Linked DNA regions of Canis lupus familiaris. The protein of the gene in region 3 interacts with the protein of the main gene of each other region in a pairwise test. Links are inferred from orthologs where the notes say so. Each region holds a gene or a part of one and is shown on either strand. Other genes may lie near its edges.

Region 1 (5,127 bases), on a different chromosome or scaffold from region 3:
TTATTATTTTTTTTTAGTAGACTCGACGCTGGGCTCAACTCACAACCCTGAGATAAAGCAAGACCTGAGCTGAGATCAAGAGCCAGATGCTTAACCAACTGAGCCACCCAGGCACCCCTCATTACTTTTCATTTTAGCCATTCTGATAGGTGTGTAGTGATATTTTATTGTGTTTTTAGTTTGTGTTTTCCTAATGGCTATGATGTTGACTATCTTTTCATGTGTTTGTTTGCCATTTGTATATGCTCTTTGATGGAATGCCTGTTCAATTTCTTTGCCCATATTCTAGTTGGATTGTTTGCTATTTTATTTTTGAGCTTTGTGAATTCTTTATATATTCTAAATGTGAGGGCTTTGTCAGTTATGGGGTTTGAAAATATTCTCTCAAAGTCTGTAGTTTGTCTTTTTATCCTCTTAACAGTTTTTGGCAGAGCAAATGTTTCTTTTTTATATTCTGAGATTCAACTTTTTAATTTTTCCTTTATGGACTATACTTTTGATGCCCAAGAACTCTGATTAGCCTTAATCACAATGATTAACAAATTTTCCCCCTAAAAGTTTTATAGTTTTACTTACAGTTGTACATTTTATAAGTCCATGATGCATTTTTAATTAATTTCTGTATAATGTATGAGGCTTAGGTTGCAGATTTTTGAAGGTTTTATCACTGGCCTCTAGACATCTAAACACATTCCATCCCATGCTCTCCCTGTCTACTTTTCCATATTTCTTTTTTTTAAAGATTTTATTTATTTATTCATGAGAGACACACAGAGAGAGAGAGAGGCAGAGACACAGGCAGAGGGAGAAGCAGGCTCCATGCAGGGAGCCTGACGTGGGACTCAATCCTGGGTCTCCAGGATCATGCCCTGGGCTGAAGGCAGCCCTAAATCACTGAGCCACCGGGCTGCCCACTTTTCCATATTTCTAAGACATTATTTCATGTCTACTTTAAATTTCATCTCTTTAACTCTTTCATTAGGCAATTTTCAGTTGTTTTACTCTATATTGGTCATATGCCATCCCTAACATTTTACTGCCTTACTGATCAAAAGAATGTAGTTACATAGATATCCTCTACTGTTGACATGAGTCATGGTGATAATACGATAACTTAATAAATGTTGATATGTTTGTCTGTTTTCCAATGTATTGTAAGTCTGCCAAGGAGAAGGAGCATATCTTTTTCTTTCTCAAAACCTAACCCAGGTTTTACACATAGTAAGGATGCAATGCTGTTTGTAGAATTAAAATGGATTGAGTTCTATCATCCTCATATATGCTAGAAGAGGGACATGTTCACCTATATGTGTATCTATGTTCAGATGCAACATAAGATTTTTTGAGGAGGCAAAACTGAGTGGGAAGGCCAGTAGCATTTCAACTGGATCACTCCTGACTACTCATACCTGCTGCTGTACTGGCTGGAACCCGTTTATCTGGGTGAATGAGGTCAGTATCACAGGTAGGATTGTCCAGTACTGGAAGTGTATTTGATTCCAGGATGCTGTGGGAAGATGTACTGCTGATTCATAAATACTTTTCCAATTTATCTGCCTATGATTCTTTTTTTTTTTTAATTTTTATTTATTTATGATAGTCACAGAGAGAGAGAGAGAGAGGCAGAGACACAGGCAGAGGGAGAAGCAGGCTCCATGCACCGGGAGCCCGACGTGGGATTCGATCCCGGGTCTCCAGGATCGCGCCCTGGGCCAAAGGCAGGCGCTAAACCACTGCGCCACCCAGGGATCCCTCTGCCTATGATTCTGTTTAAAGAGTACCCCTCAATACAGTTAGAACTTTGAAATTATATGTGTGCACACACATAAAATATACCCAAGTTGTTGTTGCTGTTTCCGCAGAGTAACCTCCAAATTCTACCTTTCAGAAATCTCTTTTGCATAGGTTCCCTACATTTAGGTTTAGATGCCCATTAATTAAGGACTTCCAGCCAGTATATCTATTTCATTTTAGCTTCCTAAAGACCTAGTGCTCAGGTGATGATAGGAGCTGTGAATATCACATATTATTTGTTCACATATGTCTGAAAGGTCAAAAGTGAAGGTCAGTACATTTCTACATTTTTCTTCTTCCTGTGCCAATTGGTTAAAATAAGATATCCAATAATAAATCATGTTTATTGTCAGGATATGAGCCATGGCACAAGGACGGATCAGTTTTTTGGTGTTAAAGTATTTGGATAGGTTTGCTGTAGTATGATTGCAGCATTTAATTCTGAGCTCTGATTATTTGTAGGCAGTAACATGGCCCATCCCCCTTTCTCTGAATAACCTTTTAAGAGATGGTTCTATTCATAGTTAAGAGGATTTACAGACTTAAACTGCAAAGATACACACAACACCGAGCAGGCAAATTGTCACTCTTTGGGGAAATAATGTTACCTATTGATAGAAATTCATGCTTAAAAAATTCACCATAGGAAACTATGAATTCAGGAAAAAATCCCTTAGCTTCTTAATGTTCTTATGTTCCTGTATTATTTTATCAATTTTTTCTTGAGCAATTTTTGTAGAAAGCAGTCTATAGTTTTTCTTTCAATACTGTACGAGAAATAAATTTTATTTTAGAGAAAAATATCCAAACTACAATAGCCACAAAATATCAACAGTCATAAAAATCTATGGCTAGATTTCCTTTTTTAAAAAACATTACCCCTCCTGAAACAAACAAACAAACAAACAAACAATAAATAAGCATTTGTCTTCGTAAAGGGAAGCTGTTTAGGTTGGAGAAAACTGGACAGATCTGGTAATTATTATCAAAGTTCTAGTTTTCCTCTTGGGGTTAGCTTGAAAACATTTTGATAAACTATTAGTAAGATAGAGCAATAGTATGAAAGCTTGCTTATGGTTTTAAATTCTTTCCAGATAAAAATTTTCCTTGTCAAGAAAGGATCAGGGGTTGTGGAGATTGTCTTACCTTGACATCATGCACAGCCTTGGTGCTACCTTCATTTTCCATGGTTTGGTGAATGTTTGCTTTATATCCCTCTGCCCTACGCAGGGGCAGAAATTGCTTCCACATAGATGGCCTAGAGAAATGTTCCTGGAGGCACTCTTGGTTGTCTTGGGGAAGACTGGGCATGTTTTTACAATAAAGTTCTAAATGAGTCCTGCAGCCTGTTTTTAACAGCAGTAGCCCAGGATCCAGTCTACTTCTCTTCGTCTGGTGGATGCTGTGCCATCTCTCAGCCAGCTGGGGATCTCTCTGCTTCACTATCTGAAGCAACAGGATTATCTGTTTTGGGGATCAGCAGTTTATCCACTAGTGTTCTATTCCAGGTAGAGCTTCTGGTTTTGAATGTCTAGATATGTTATGACTGCCCTCTGCAGGCAGCAATGTGTTCCTAATTCAAATTTAATTCCTAAATCAAAATGGAAAGAAATGGTGTAAGTGATATATTGCTTAGGATATAATGATAAAGGGAATAGACTATTTTGCGAAATTCTGCATTAGTCATGTGTGATAGGGACTAGTATTTGATCATCTTGGACCACGCAATGGAGAGGCAGATGGTCTGCCTAATCTATGTAGTTTTCTTAAAAGGTCATTTTAGCAGCAGTTAGCTTTGCGGTTAGAAATATTTGCTAAACTCACACCCAAACTTAAGCCCAAGGATTATTACACCTAAATTGATATGATGTAGGATTAAAATGATTTTTCTTATGAAGTAACTAGTCATCTAGTGATTAAACCAAAAGTTGGCTTCGAATATTGTGCTTCACATTTGTAAAGTGCCCTATAAATAAAGATTATTACACAGAGTGCAAAGAGTAGAACATAATATCTTTCTCTCAAGGAATATCTAATATTCAAGTAACCATTGCTGGGTCTGGTGCACAGGGGTAAAGACCCCAGATGTATATTACTTGGGTTATGAACTGGAGAAATTTCCTTTTGTAAAATGACCCCGGGCCTCCAGAATTGGTATGCAAAACAAACACAGTCACAGTCCCTATCAACATTTCAGCTTCTTTTTTTCCTTTTCTTTCAGCTTCCTTTTCTTTTTATTCTTTTTTTTTTTGTGAGAAATTGATAGATTGATTGTAAAATTCATATGGAACTGTAAGGGACCCAGACTATCCAAAACAATCTCATAAAAAGGAGAACAAAGTTGGAGGATTCACATTTCTCAATTTAAAAACTTATTATAAGGGGATGCTTGGGTGGCTCAGTGGTTGAGCGTCTGCCTTTGGCTTAGGTTGTGATTCCAGGGTTCCAGGATCGAGTCCCGCATCAGGTTCTCCACAGGGATCCTGCTTCTCCCTCTGTGTCTCTGCCTCTCTCTCATGAATAAATAAAAAAAACTAATTATAAAGCCACAGTAATTAATAGTGTGGTACTCACATAAAAATAGACCTATAGATCAACAGAATAGAGAGTCCATAAATAGATCCATACATTTAGGGACAATTGATTTTTGACAAGGTGCCAAAATAACTCAACAGAGGAAAGAATTGTCTTTTCAACAAATAGTGCTGGAACAACTGGATAACTACAGGCAGACAGATTAAGTTGAACTTCTACCTCACACCACAGAAAAAATGAACTCAAAATGAATCATAGACTTATAGGTAAGAGCTGAAACTATAAAACTGCTACAAGAAAATGTAGGGGTAAATCTTTGTGACCTTGGATTAAGCAAAGCCTTCTTACATATAATACCAAAAGCACAAAGGACAAAAGAAAAAAAAGGTAAACTGGACTTCAGCAAAATGAAAAACTTTGATTTTCTTTTTTTTTTTTAAAACTTTGATTTTCAAAGAACCTCAGAAAGAAAGTGTAAAGATAACCTACAAAATAGAAAATATAGAAAATATTGCAAATCATATATACACAATAAAGGAATTGTATCCAGAATATGTAAAGAGTTCTTACAACTGAAAAAACAAAACAAAATAAAATTTAACTGAAAATGGGTGATGTGTCTAAATAAATATTTCTCCAAAGAAAATACGTAAATGGCCAATAAGCCCATGAAAAGATGCTCGACGTCATTAGCCATTAGGGAAAAGCAAGTCAAAATCACAATGATTTTACACTCAATAGGTTGGCAAAAAAACAGACAATGATAAATGTTAGTATGTGGAGAAACTAGGACTCTCA
Region 2 (4,931 bases), on a different chromosome or scaffold from region 3:
GTGGGAGGGAGCTGATCATCCATTCTCACTCCTGAGACTTCCCAAGGACAGTTCTTTATGAACAAGGGTATTGAGGACAGTGGCCAGACCAACAAACTCACCTTCTTCAGTGATTTCTTCCAAATGTGACAGCAACTGCTCATAGGCACTGTTTTCTTCTGGACCCTCCTGGGAAATGACAGTACAAGACAGGTTCTTATAGGCATCTAGGGCTATGGCTGGAGGCCTGAAGGTGAGGTGGGCTTTGCATACTCCTCCCGTTTCTCAGCTCTGAGGATGCTGAGAGAACATAAAATCTTGTGTATTACTACTTGGTCGATTTACTCTAGCAGGTTACTGACCTAACCTGTTTGGTGGGCTGGTTTCAATGGCAAATTGGAGAAGCAGGAAGATGGGCCACTTGACTGTGACCTGGGTCCTGCTATCTTTTCCAGTCTCACTGATCCTACCTCCACATACACACTCATGGTCTCCCCACAGAAAACCATAATAACTTTGTATTCTCATTTCCTCTACATTCACCTTAAGAGTTCATGTGTTTGAGTTTTGGAGCAAGGACATCCTATCTCAGATGCCTTCTCTGAACTTTGTACTGTGAGGCTGGCGCTAGAGTCAGTTAGGCAGTGACTGAGCCTAGAAGGTATCTCCCCATCATCCCTGCATTTTACTAGTCTCTTCTAATCACTATGTAGGTAGCCCTGATTGTTACAGGTCCCAAAGAGGTCACTAAATATTTCTCTAGGCTTTACTGCATTTCACAGAGTGGAAATTATGAGTTATAGGAGTATTTAAGAAACTCCTCTTCCTCGTGTCCCTTCTGTTCCACCTGCCATTCCCTGAGTGTATCATAGTCCACATATAATGTTGGCTCTACATGGAATATCTCCCTTTCCTTCCCACTACTGCAGGCTTCAAGTCTGACCTCCGGGAACTTTCCTCTGACCACCTCTGCTCTGTATGTGCCCTCCGTATGTGCCTTTCATTGTCAGCTGCCTCCACCGGCTGTGGGCTCCTTAAGTCAAGGAGCCAGGGTTTCTGAGTCCTTTGTGTGGCTCAGTGCCTGGCTCACAGTGCGTGTTGGATGAATTAATGAGTGAATGAGGCCTGCCAGGTGCCAGGGTGAGTGTGTTAGGATGGGGTCTCCGGGGTCAAGCTACACTGAGCCCTGGGGCGTGGCGTGGGGAAGCAGGGAATAGGGGCGTCCAGCGCTGGTACCTGCAGAAAGGCGGCCAACACGGCCAGCCCCCCCGGGCGTCCCAAGGCCTCCTCAACTTTGGCAAATGCAGTGCTGATGTGAACCACGTGGATCTGGAGAGAAACGGAGGGTAGAAGAGGGCAAGACCCCCGGCCCAGCGTCCCCCTTGGCCTCGCCGCCGCACGCTCACCTCGGCTGGGAAACGGTGGCCGTCGACCGTGTGCTCCGAGCCCGGGCGGCCCGCGGCCCCCCAGTGCAGGTGCAACTGCAGGGCCCGGTACTCCCGCCCGGGGCCCAGGGCCATCTCCAGCCCCGGAGGCAGGGTCAGCTGCACTGCGAGGGAAGAGCCAGGTGAGCCAGGGGGTGGCGGGGTGGGGGTGGGGTCGGGGGTGTCTAACCGCCAGGCGCGAGCGTGGCGGGCGGGCCCCCGGCTCTCGGCCCCGGCGCGTCCCCCGACAGGCTCCGCCCCCCCGGGCGGCTCCGCGGCGAGACCCCCCTCACCGGTGTGGCCATTGTTGCGCAGGCGCAGTTCTGGGAGTGGCGGGAGCTCAAAGCCCAGGAGCTCCAGCGGGGGCAGCGCCGGGCTCAAGGCGGCGAGCTGGGGCCGGATATCTACGGGCGACTGGAAGCGGCCCGCGCAGGCTGGGGACACCTGGGGCCAGGGCGGGTCTCCTGGAGCGAGAGAGTGTGGACCGGAAGTCTGGTGACAAGATCAGGGCCGGTTAGGGAAGCGGGGTAGAAAAAGTGAGAGGGTGGAGTGAGAAGGCATCGGGCGGGAAATAGAGATCGGGGCTGGGGACCGAGAGGGCAGCGGGCCGTGCTGCGGACTGGCAGGCGGGTGCAGTGGGTGGGACGCCCGGGAACCAAAGTTCTGGGGGGTCAGGTCGGCAGAGCAGGGTGCCCAGGTTGGGTGTGCAGGGGGTGGGTGTCTCACCTCCATAGCGCCAATGACTGTGGTCATCCCCTGCATAAGTGAGAAGGACGGAAAGCCGATATTTAAGCCCAGTCCCTCCCCAGCGGCCAGAAGGAAGTGCGTTCCCCTCCTTGACAGGGGCATAGGGGGTAACGGGAATGCCTTACGTGGCCAGGTATAAAGCACAACAGACTGCAACCAAACATAACACCATAGCTTGGTAGATCAAAGATCCTACAGGCCCCAGAGATACCAGTTTGCAGCCTTGTCTTAGTCTGTAAAGTGGGGGGTGGGGTGGGGAAAGGGGTTTGGTCCCCAGGCCCAAAACAATAGACCCTCTTCCCTTTCTCCCTGTCTCCAACTCCCTTCCCAAGGTTCTTCATTTCTGAGTCTCCTGGTTTCTCAGTCAAAAAACCAGGTTCCCCTACTTACTATTCCTTCTTCCTAAGTCTCGCTTTCCTCATCTGTAGAATGGGGATGCGGTGATCTCTACAAGCCCTCCTGGCTCTTCCATTGCTACCCACCCTGCTACCGTCTTTCTTCTCTCCCCTCATATTCTTTCTTCTCTCCTCATATCTCTTTCCATTTCCTTCATCTCTCTCTCCTCTCCAACCTCCGCCTTTCTTTTTCATCTCTTCCTGCTCACCTCTCTCCATCTGTGCTTTTTGGTCTCCTCACAGATCCCCTTCTAGCTCTGAAAGGGGGGAGGGGAGTGTTTAGTGGCATGAGATCCCAAGGGGATGGGAAAGGCTACTGTCAGTGTATAGGCTCCTTTCCTTCGCTGAATAATCCCTGCCTGGGCTAGGGTTGAGCACCTGGAGGACAAGCCTCCTGGAGCCTAGACTTGGAGGGCTGATGACCACTTACCTTTGTTGTGCCTGTGGGCATTATTCTGGGAGCCTGGGGTGTCCCTGGGCGCCTCAACAGTAGGTAGATCCTCTAACTTCAGAGAGTCCTCTTTTCCTGGTTCAGTCTTCATTCCAGATGGGTCCTCCTCTCCAGGTGGGTCTTCCTCTCCAGGTGGATCCTCCTCTCCAGGCGGGTCCTCCTCTCCATGTGGATCCTCTTCACTGGGTAGGTTTTCCTCATCCAATTGATCATCCTCTCCAGATGAATCTCCTCCCAACCCGGGTGTCCCCTGTATCCGGGACAGGCTCTGGGGATGGACAGGAACCAGGAGTGGCAGGATCAGCAGCAGTTGCACACCAGGGCCCAGAGAAGGGGCTGGGATCAACAGAGGGAGCCAGGGACTGGGGCACAGGGGAGCCATGCGGCTGACTGTGGGGTGTCCCAGACACGGTGTGTACGGGCTGTACGTGCATTGGAAACAGGAGCTGGGTGGGGGAGGAGCAAGCCTGGAGGGGAGCAGGCTGACTCACAGAGGGCCCTTTTGTAGAGATGGAGCCAAAGTCCCGTGGGTCTGCCTGGCCCTGTGCCCCTTCCCCGATACCAAAGCCTGGATGGGGGTGGGTGTGAGAGGCAGGTATATGCACAGGCAGGAGGTTATCAGGGTCATAGGCTCAGCCTGGAACCCAAGGCACCACCTGGCACTACACAGGCTCTCCCTGGCACCACCCAGCTGCTCACCAGCCAGCCTCAGCTAACCCTGGCCTGCTTCCCAGCCCCAGGCAGAGAAGGGGAAAGACAGGGAGCTGGGGCCCGCACAGCCTCTGGCTGAGAGGGAAGCAGCCCATGAATATATCCCTGGCCGAGCCACAGACCAGATAAAGGGGTAGGACAAGCTGCTGGGGAAGCCTGGGAGTGGGTGGACAGATAGGTAGATGGGAGGCAAATCTGAGTATAAATGAAAAACTGAGTGTATATAGGAGAGGAACGGTGATGTTTTAAAGTAAATTTATTTTTCATCATGTTACACCTCTTCTCAAAAACCTTCATTGGCTTCCACCTGCCCATCTTCTTCCTGTAGTTGACTAGAGCTTGTTGGGGGAGCTGCTTCCTACTGTTCTCCCTCATACTCCAGCCAAATTAAAGTATTAATTTTTCCCCCAGACCTTTAACCCCCTTTGTTCATCTAGTTCTCACTGCTGGGAATACCATTCAGTCTTATATTTAACAAATATTTATTTAGCATCTACTATGTCCAGCATTAGACTATGGACTAAAGGTATAGAAATGAATAAGACACAGTCCCTGTCCTAAGGATCTCACTGTCTAGTGAGTGAGGGCAAACACTATCACAATATTCAGGGGAAAGAGATTAATTCTGCCTAAGAAAGTAATACAGAAGTAGGCAAAATATGATCAGGGCTTTGAAAAAGAAGCAGTTCAATTGCTAAAAACAAGGTGGAGAATGGGATTTTGTGCAAAGGAAAGGCATCAGATATCTTGTGCAGGAGAATGACGGAATCCAATTCTCATATTAGGTTGTGCTGAGGGCTGGGGGAGAGCAGGGGCAAGGAGAAGAGTGAAAGGACCCCAAGAATGGACTTGGGGTTCCCAGTATGCCTGTTCATTTGAGAAACATTTATTGAGCCTCCTCCAACCCTCCAAGAACTGTTCTAAGCCATAGGGATGCAGCATTGAACTAGAGGACAGCCTCTTCTGTTCTGTAGCTCACATTATAGTAAGGTCCCTATGGTTTCAACAAACCAGAAGAAAGTAAGACCATCTCAGGAAGTTCCTAGCTGGGGCTAACATTCAGTAGATATGCACCCATATGGTTGTATGGATTGGAGAAATATATTGAAGTATTTCTAATTTTGTTGAGAACTAGCCCCTAGCTTCAGGGTGGCTCCTGCTACCTCACTCCTCCCCAGGAACTCTACTGATCTCTTATCTAAAGAGATAAATGCTTGGCAGAGC
Region 3 (4,803 bases):
GTTGTCCATTTATACAATAGAATACTACTCGGCAATAAAAAGGAACCAACTATAGATCCTTGCAACAACACGCATCTTGAAAACATAGAGGAAAACAACCTAGACATAAAAGACCAGGAGCCAGGTAACTCCGTTTACATAAAGTACCAAGAACCGGCTGAACTAACCTATAGTGACAGACAGTGGATCAGTGGTGGGGACGATGGGAAGGAGCTAAAGAACATTCTGGGGCTCTATATTGTGTTGAATAGTGGTTACTCGTGTATGTACAACTGTCAAAACTCATCACACCTAACTACTAAGATCCATGCATTTTATTATGGTATATAAGTAATACCTCATTTCTTAAAATGCTGGGATACCACTTTTTACTAAACTGAAAGAAGATTTTTTTTAAATAAAATAGTCCATGTTAAAAAAAAAAGAAGCAGTCAAGCATTTCCGTATCTTACTGGTAAAAATTAAAGTGGAACCTTTCAGAAAATTCTTACACACTGTCAAGTATCTATCCTAAGGAAGTAATTAAAGAAACAAAGACTTATGTATATTTATGTATAATACTTTCCCATTTTCTCACATAGCAAATAACTGGAAGAATCAATTTTTCAATAACACTATATCTTTGTTAATGGTTAAATAGCAGAATATTAGCAAGCTGTTAAAAATCATATTTCAAAGAATTCTAATGGCATGTAAAAATGCCCAAAATATGATTATTTTTAAAAATTTAAATGTTCCCAAATTTTATAACAGTATGTATGAACTGACCTATGCAAAATATATATATATGTATATACCTGAAACTAATATACTATTGTGTATAAATTACACTAATAGTTAAAAAAAAAGATATACCCACACAACTTAAAATTCCATGACTACTAACATCACTTTGAAGAGTAATTTCAATCTTAATGTAAATGTGAATCTTAACTTCCATACTGTAAAACAGCAATAACTAATACCCTGAGATGTTGGAAAGATCAAACAAAAATATAAAAACACTTTAAAAATATAAAAGCATGATATTAATAGTTGTTTTACATCATCTACAATAATCTCCTATCTAGATGCTCAACTTTCTAATTAAGGACATAGTACCTAGGAGCATTAGGCTATAAACCTGAAACAAATATAAATGCTGCCACCCTCTCTTGGGTTACATATGAGTACCCTCTGTCTGCATGGAATAACCCTACATGCATGGTGCACTGCTTGAAGGACTTTAAAGACCAGGTTCAAATCCTGACTAGCATATTTTTAGACAATGTAATGAACATTGGCTCTGCATCAGCAAAATGGGTGTTCAATGCATTGCTGTTTCTCTATTATTATTAGGTGTTCAGCTCCTGCAGTTATTTATCTGCAGATAATACCAGCTGCTGTGTATTAAATACTATCATATACTGGACTTAGGTATTTTACAAATGGGTAAAACCTTGATCCCTCTGCAATTGGGGATATCCCCACTGTACAGAGCAACTGAGGTTTCAGTGATACACAAACACCCGAGGTGAGTTAAACAAAGAAAAAATTTCAATTCACATCAAATTTTAAAACTGGGGGCAGCCCGGGTGGCTCAGCGGTTTAGCACCGCCTTTGCCTGGGGAGTGATCCTGGAGACCCGGGATCGAGTCCCACATTGGGCTCCCTGCATGGAGCCTGCTTCTCCCTCTGCCTATGTCTCTGCCTCTCTCTCTCTGTGTGACTATCATAAATAAATAAAAATTAAAAAAAAAAGGGGGGGGGGGGCAGAGATGTATTCCTTCTCCGATGCCAGCCATCATTTCCCAGGTGCCTGCTGAAGCTAATCCCTAGGGGAAAGGTGTGCTGCTTTCTGCATCACCTGGAGCACAGACCACTGGCAGGAAAACACCCAAATGGCGTGTGTGGGCTGTGTTCTTTTAAGAATATTTACGATGAAAAAAAAAAAAGAAAAAAAAAAAAAAAACGACACGTGAAAACCGAAATGTGCAACACGCGAGGCAGAGTGAGCTCAAGTATTTAGGAAAGCAGGTGCACCTAAGTCGTCCTGCCCCTTCCGAGAGCCCACCTCGGGCGCCGTCCACAGTCGGGTATGTCAGTGCGGGATGAGTCACAACCCACCTCTCGTCGGTGAGTACCGCTCATTTCCCTCTTTTTTTTTTTTGTTTTGTTTTGTTTTGTTCCTGTAAACAGTTTTCCAAGGAAACCTGAAATGTGTGAAGGGCTGATCCGGTTACACGTCTACCTCCGGCAGGGCCAGCACGCGTGACCCCCAGAAGCAAGGCAGTAGCTCCGGCCCTGCTCCCCCTCCACCCCCGCTCGCCCCCGCCCCCGCTCACCGGCTCTCCCAGGCACGCTCCTACCTGCTCCTACCTGCTCCTGCTGCTCCTACCTGCCTGTAGCCGGTACATCGGGCACCACCGGCCTTCGCCGGCCGCGGCGTCCACACCGCAGGGGGCACGGCAGGTGCCCCGCACCCCCCCTCCCCGCCCGCGACTCTAATGCGTTAGGAAGGCGGGGTTAGGAAGCCTGCGCGCGGGGCTCCAGGCTCGAGGCCTCGCCGCCCGCGGGGCTCCCTTCCGGCCCGGCACCGCCGACCCGCCGAGCGGCCCGCACACCGGGGACCCTCGGGAGCAGCGTCCCGGCCGCCGGGGTCGGCGCGCCCCGTCCTCCCTGGCCCGGGGCTGAGTCAGCGCGACGCCGGGGCACCGGGGCTGCCAGGCCGGGCGGCGGGGCGGGGCGGGGCGGGGCGGGGCCGGGCCGGGGGGTCGGGGCGGGGTCGCCCCGCTCCTCTCCCGGGGGTCGGCCCCCCTCCGCTCCCCTGCCGGGCCCGGGGGGTCATGGGGTCATGGGGTTAGGGCGGGGCGGGCCCCCCCCACCTGCGCTCCCCTCCCGGGCCCGGCGGGTCATGGGGTCATGGGGTCGGGTCGGGCCCCCCTTCCGCTCCCCTCCCGGGCCCGGAGGGGTCATGGGGTCATGGGGTCATGGGTCGGGTCGCCCCCCCCGCCCCCCGCTCCCCTCCCGGGCCCGGAAAGCCGACGGGCCGAGCTCGGGAGCCGGCCGCCCCGCCAGGCCCCGCCGGCCGGACGCGAAGGAGCCGGGCCGCCCGCCGCCGTCCGAGAGGCCGCCCCTCGCCAGGCCCCGCCGCCGCCCGCCGCCCGCCGCCCGCCGCCCGCCGCCCGGCTCACTTGGCTCGGAGGCGCAGCAGCTCCTCAAACTGCGGGGCTGAGCCGACCTCCACCACGGCCGCCGCCTCGGCCGCCCCCGCCGCCATGCTGCCGCCGCCAGACAGGAGCAATCGAGCGCGGGCGGCCGGGGGGCGGGGCCTCCGGGGTCTGCGCGCGGAAGCCCCGCCCCCGCGGCTGGCGCAGGCCCGAGGCGGGGACGGGGGCGTGGCTTCCGGGGGGCGTGGCCGCGCTGCTCCTGGCTCCGCCCCCCGCTCCGCCCCCTCCCGGGAGCTCCCGCTGCAGCTGCGGGGGAGCCGGTGCGCGCGTGCGAGTGGGTGGAGGGGAAAGCCGCCAGGTCTGCACGTTTCCACCTCGAATGAAATTAAGTGGAAGGCGGACTTGTTACCGAAAACGGGAAATCACATTATTTATTTGAGATGATGCAGGAAGAGCCACGAGGTCGTTTGTATCCTAACTGCGGTGGTACCTGTGCAAACCCGAACATAAATAACATTGCACGGGACAAAACACACGCAGACACACGGATTCAACTAACACCGGGAAGAAGAGGGGCCGACGGTGTGAATGTGGATGTCCTGGCTGGGGTTTTGCAGGATGGCTGTGCGAGATGTCATCTTCGGGGGGAGAAGGTACACAGGATCTCTCTGTGGACTACTGTAAAATTTGAAACAAACTTTTTTTCAATAAATAAAACCCAGAGGCCCTGGGTGGCTCAGCGGTTGAGCGTCTGCCTTCAGCTAAGGGCCCAATCCCAAGATCCCCAATGGGGCTCCCTGCATGGAGCCTGCTTCTCCCTCTGCCTGTGTCTCTGCCTCTCTCTCTCCCATGAATAAATAAATAATAAATCTTTAAAAAAATAAAATAAAACCCAGAGATTGCAATGCAAAGATGCAATAGGAAGTGGGGGGAACAGCGCCTTGCAAAAGAGGATGCATACTCCAACGGCTGTTTTAAACAGAATTATATGTAAATAAAATAGCATAACTATATATAGCTGAACAGTAGCATTTAAAAAGAAAAAAGTCGGGATCCCTGGGTGGCGCAGCGGTTTGGCGCCTGCCTTTGGCCCAGGGCGCGATCCTGGAGACCCAGGATCGAATCCCACATCAGGCTCCCGGTGCATGGAGCCTGCTTCTCCCTCTGCCTATGTCTCTGCCTCTCTCTCTCTCTCTGTGACTATCATAAATAAATAAAAATTAAAAAAAAAATTTAAGAAAAAAAATAAAAAAGAAAAAAAAAAAAGAAAAAAAAAAGAAAAAAGTCTTCAGAAGGATATGCCCCAAAGTGTGAGGAGAGCTTGCCCCCAGAAAAGAGGGGAGTCAAAGGGAGGACCTTCCCTTTTACATCTTACACTTCTTAATGTCATTTGCATTTTTTCAAAGACAGGGACTGGCTTTGTAATTTAAAAAATAATGAAATTGTAATGCACTAGGGAAATGTGCTATAGTGATTCTTTTTCAAAAAGCAGCAGTAATCAGCCCCTCTAATGTGGCTGTTTTAAAAATCCCGACTTTCCCTTTAAATGGAATTTGCTGAGAGCAGCACACACCAGCTACAGAGCACTTCTCCACTTTAGAAAAAAGCGTGTCAGGGAAACTCCAAGATTACATTTCTACTCTTTTTTTTTTTT

Evidence for each region. The genes of interacting proteins can lie anywhere in the genome.
Region 1: the proteins of GLRX3 (region 3) and RGS20 interact in binary tests that used the Homo sapiens proteins (3 or more experiments, as listed by UniProt). The link is inferred for Canis lupus familiaris from reciprocal best matches to the Homo sapiens genes GLRX3 and RGS20.
Region 2: the proteins of GLRX3 (region 3) and CA9 interact in binary tests that used the Homo sapiens proteins (3 or more experiments, as listed by UniProt). The two-hybrid records come from large-scale screens. The link is inferred for Canis lupus familiaris from reciprocal best matches to the Homo sapiens genes GLRX3 and CA9.

The regions. Positions count from the first base shown.
Region 1 is NC_049250.1:5,821,793-5,826,919, reverse strand, and holds the start of RGS20 (regulator of G-protein signaling 20), read right to left. Parts: upstream 3,379-5,127; 5' UTR 3,106-3,378; coding exon 2,941-3,105; intron 1-2,940. UniProt on the Homo sapiens protein: Inhibits signal transduction by increasing the GTPase activity of G protein alpha subunits thereby driving them into their inactive GDP-bound form.
Region 2 is NC_049232.1:52,499,267-52,504,197, reverse strand, and holds the start of CA9 (carbonic anhydrase 9), read right to left. Parts: upstream 3,379-4,931; coding exon 2,976-3,378; intron 2,160-2,975; coding exon 2,130-2,159; intron 1,868-2,129; coding exon 1,697-1,867; intron 1,529-1,696; coding exon 1,386-1,528; intron 1,309-1,385; coding exon 1,216-1,308; intron 169-1,215; coding exon 102-168; intron 1-101. UniProt on the Homo sapiens protein: Catalyzes the interconversion between carbon dioxide and water and the dissociated ions of carbonic acid (i.e. bicarbonate and hydrogen ions).
Region 3 is NC_049249.1:39,089,032-39,093,834, reverse strand, and holds the start of GLRX3 (glutaredoxin-3), read right to left. Parts: upstream 3,330-4,803; 5' UTR 3,260-3,329; coding exon 3,174-3,259; intron 2,511-3,173; exon of another isoform or gene 2,397-2,510; coding exon of another isoform or gene 2,359-2,396; exon of another isoform or gene 2,349-2,358; intron 1-2,348. UniProt on the Homo sapiens protein: Together with BOLA2, acts as a cytosolic iron-sulfur (Fe-S) cluster assembly factor that facilitates [2Fe-2S] cluster insertion into a subset of cytosolic proteins.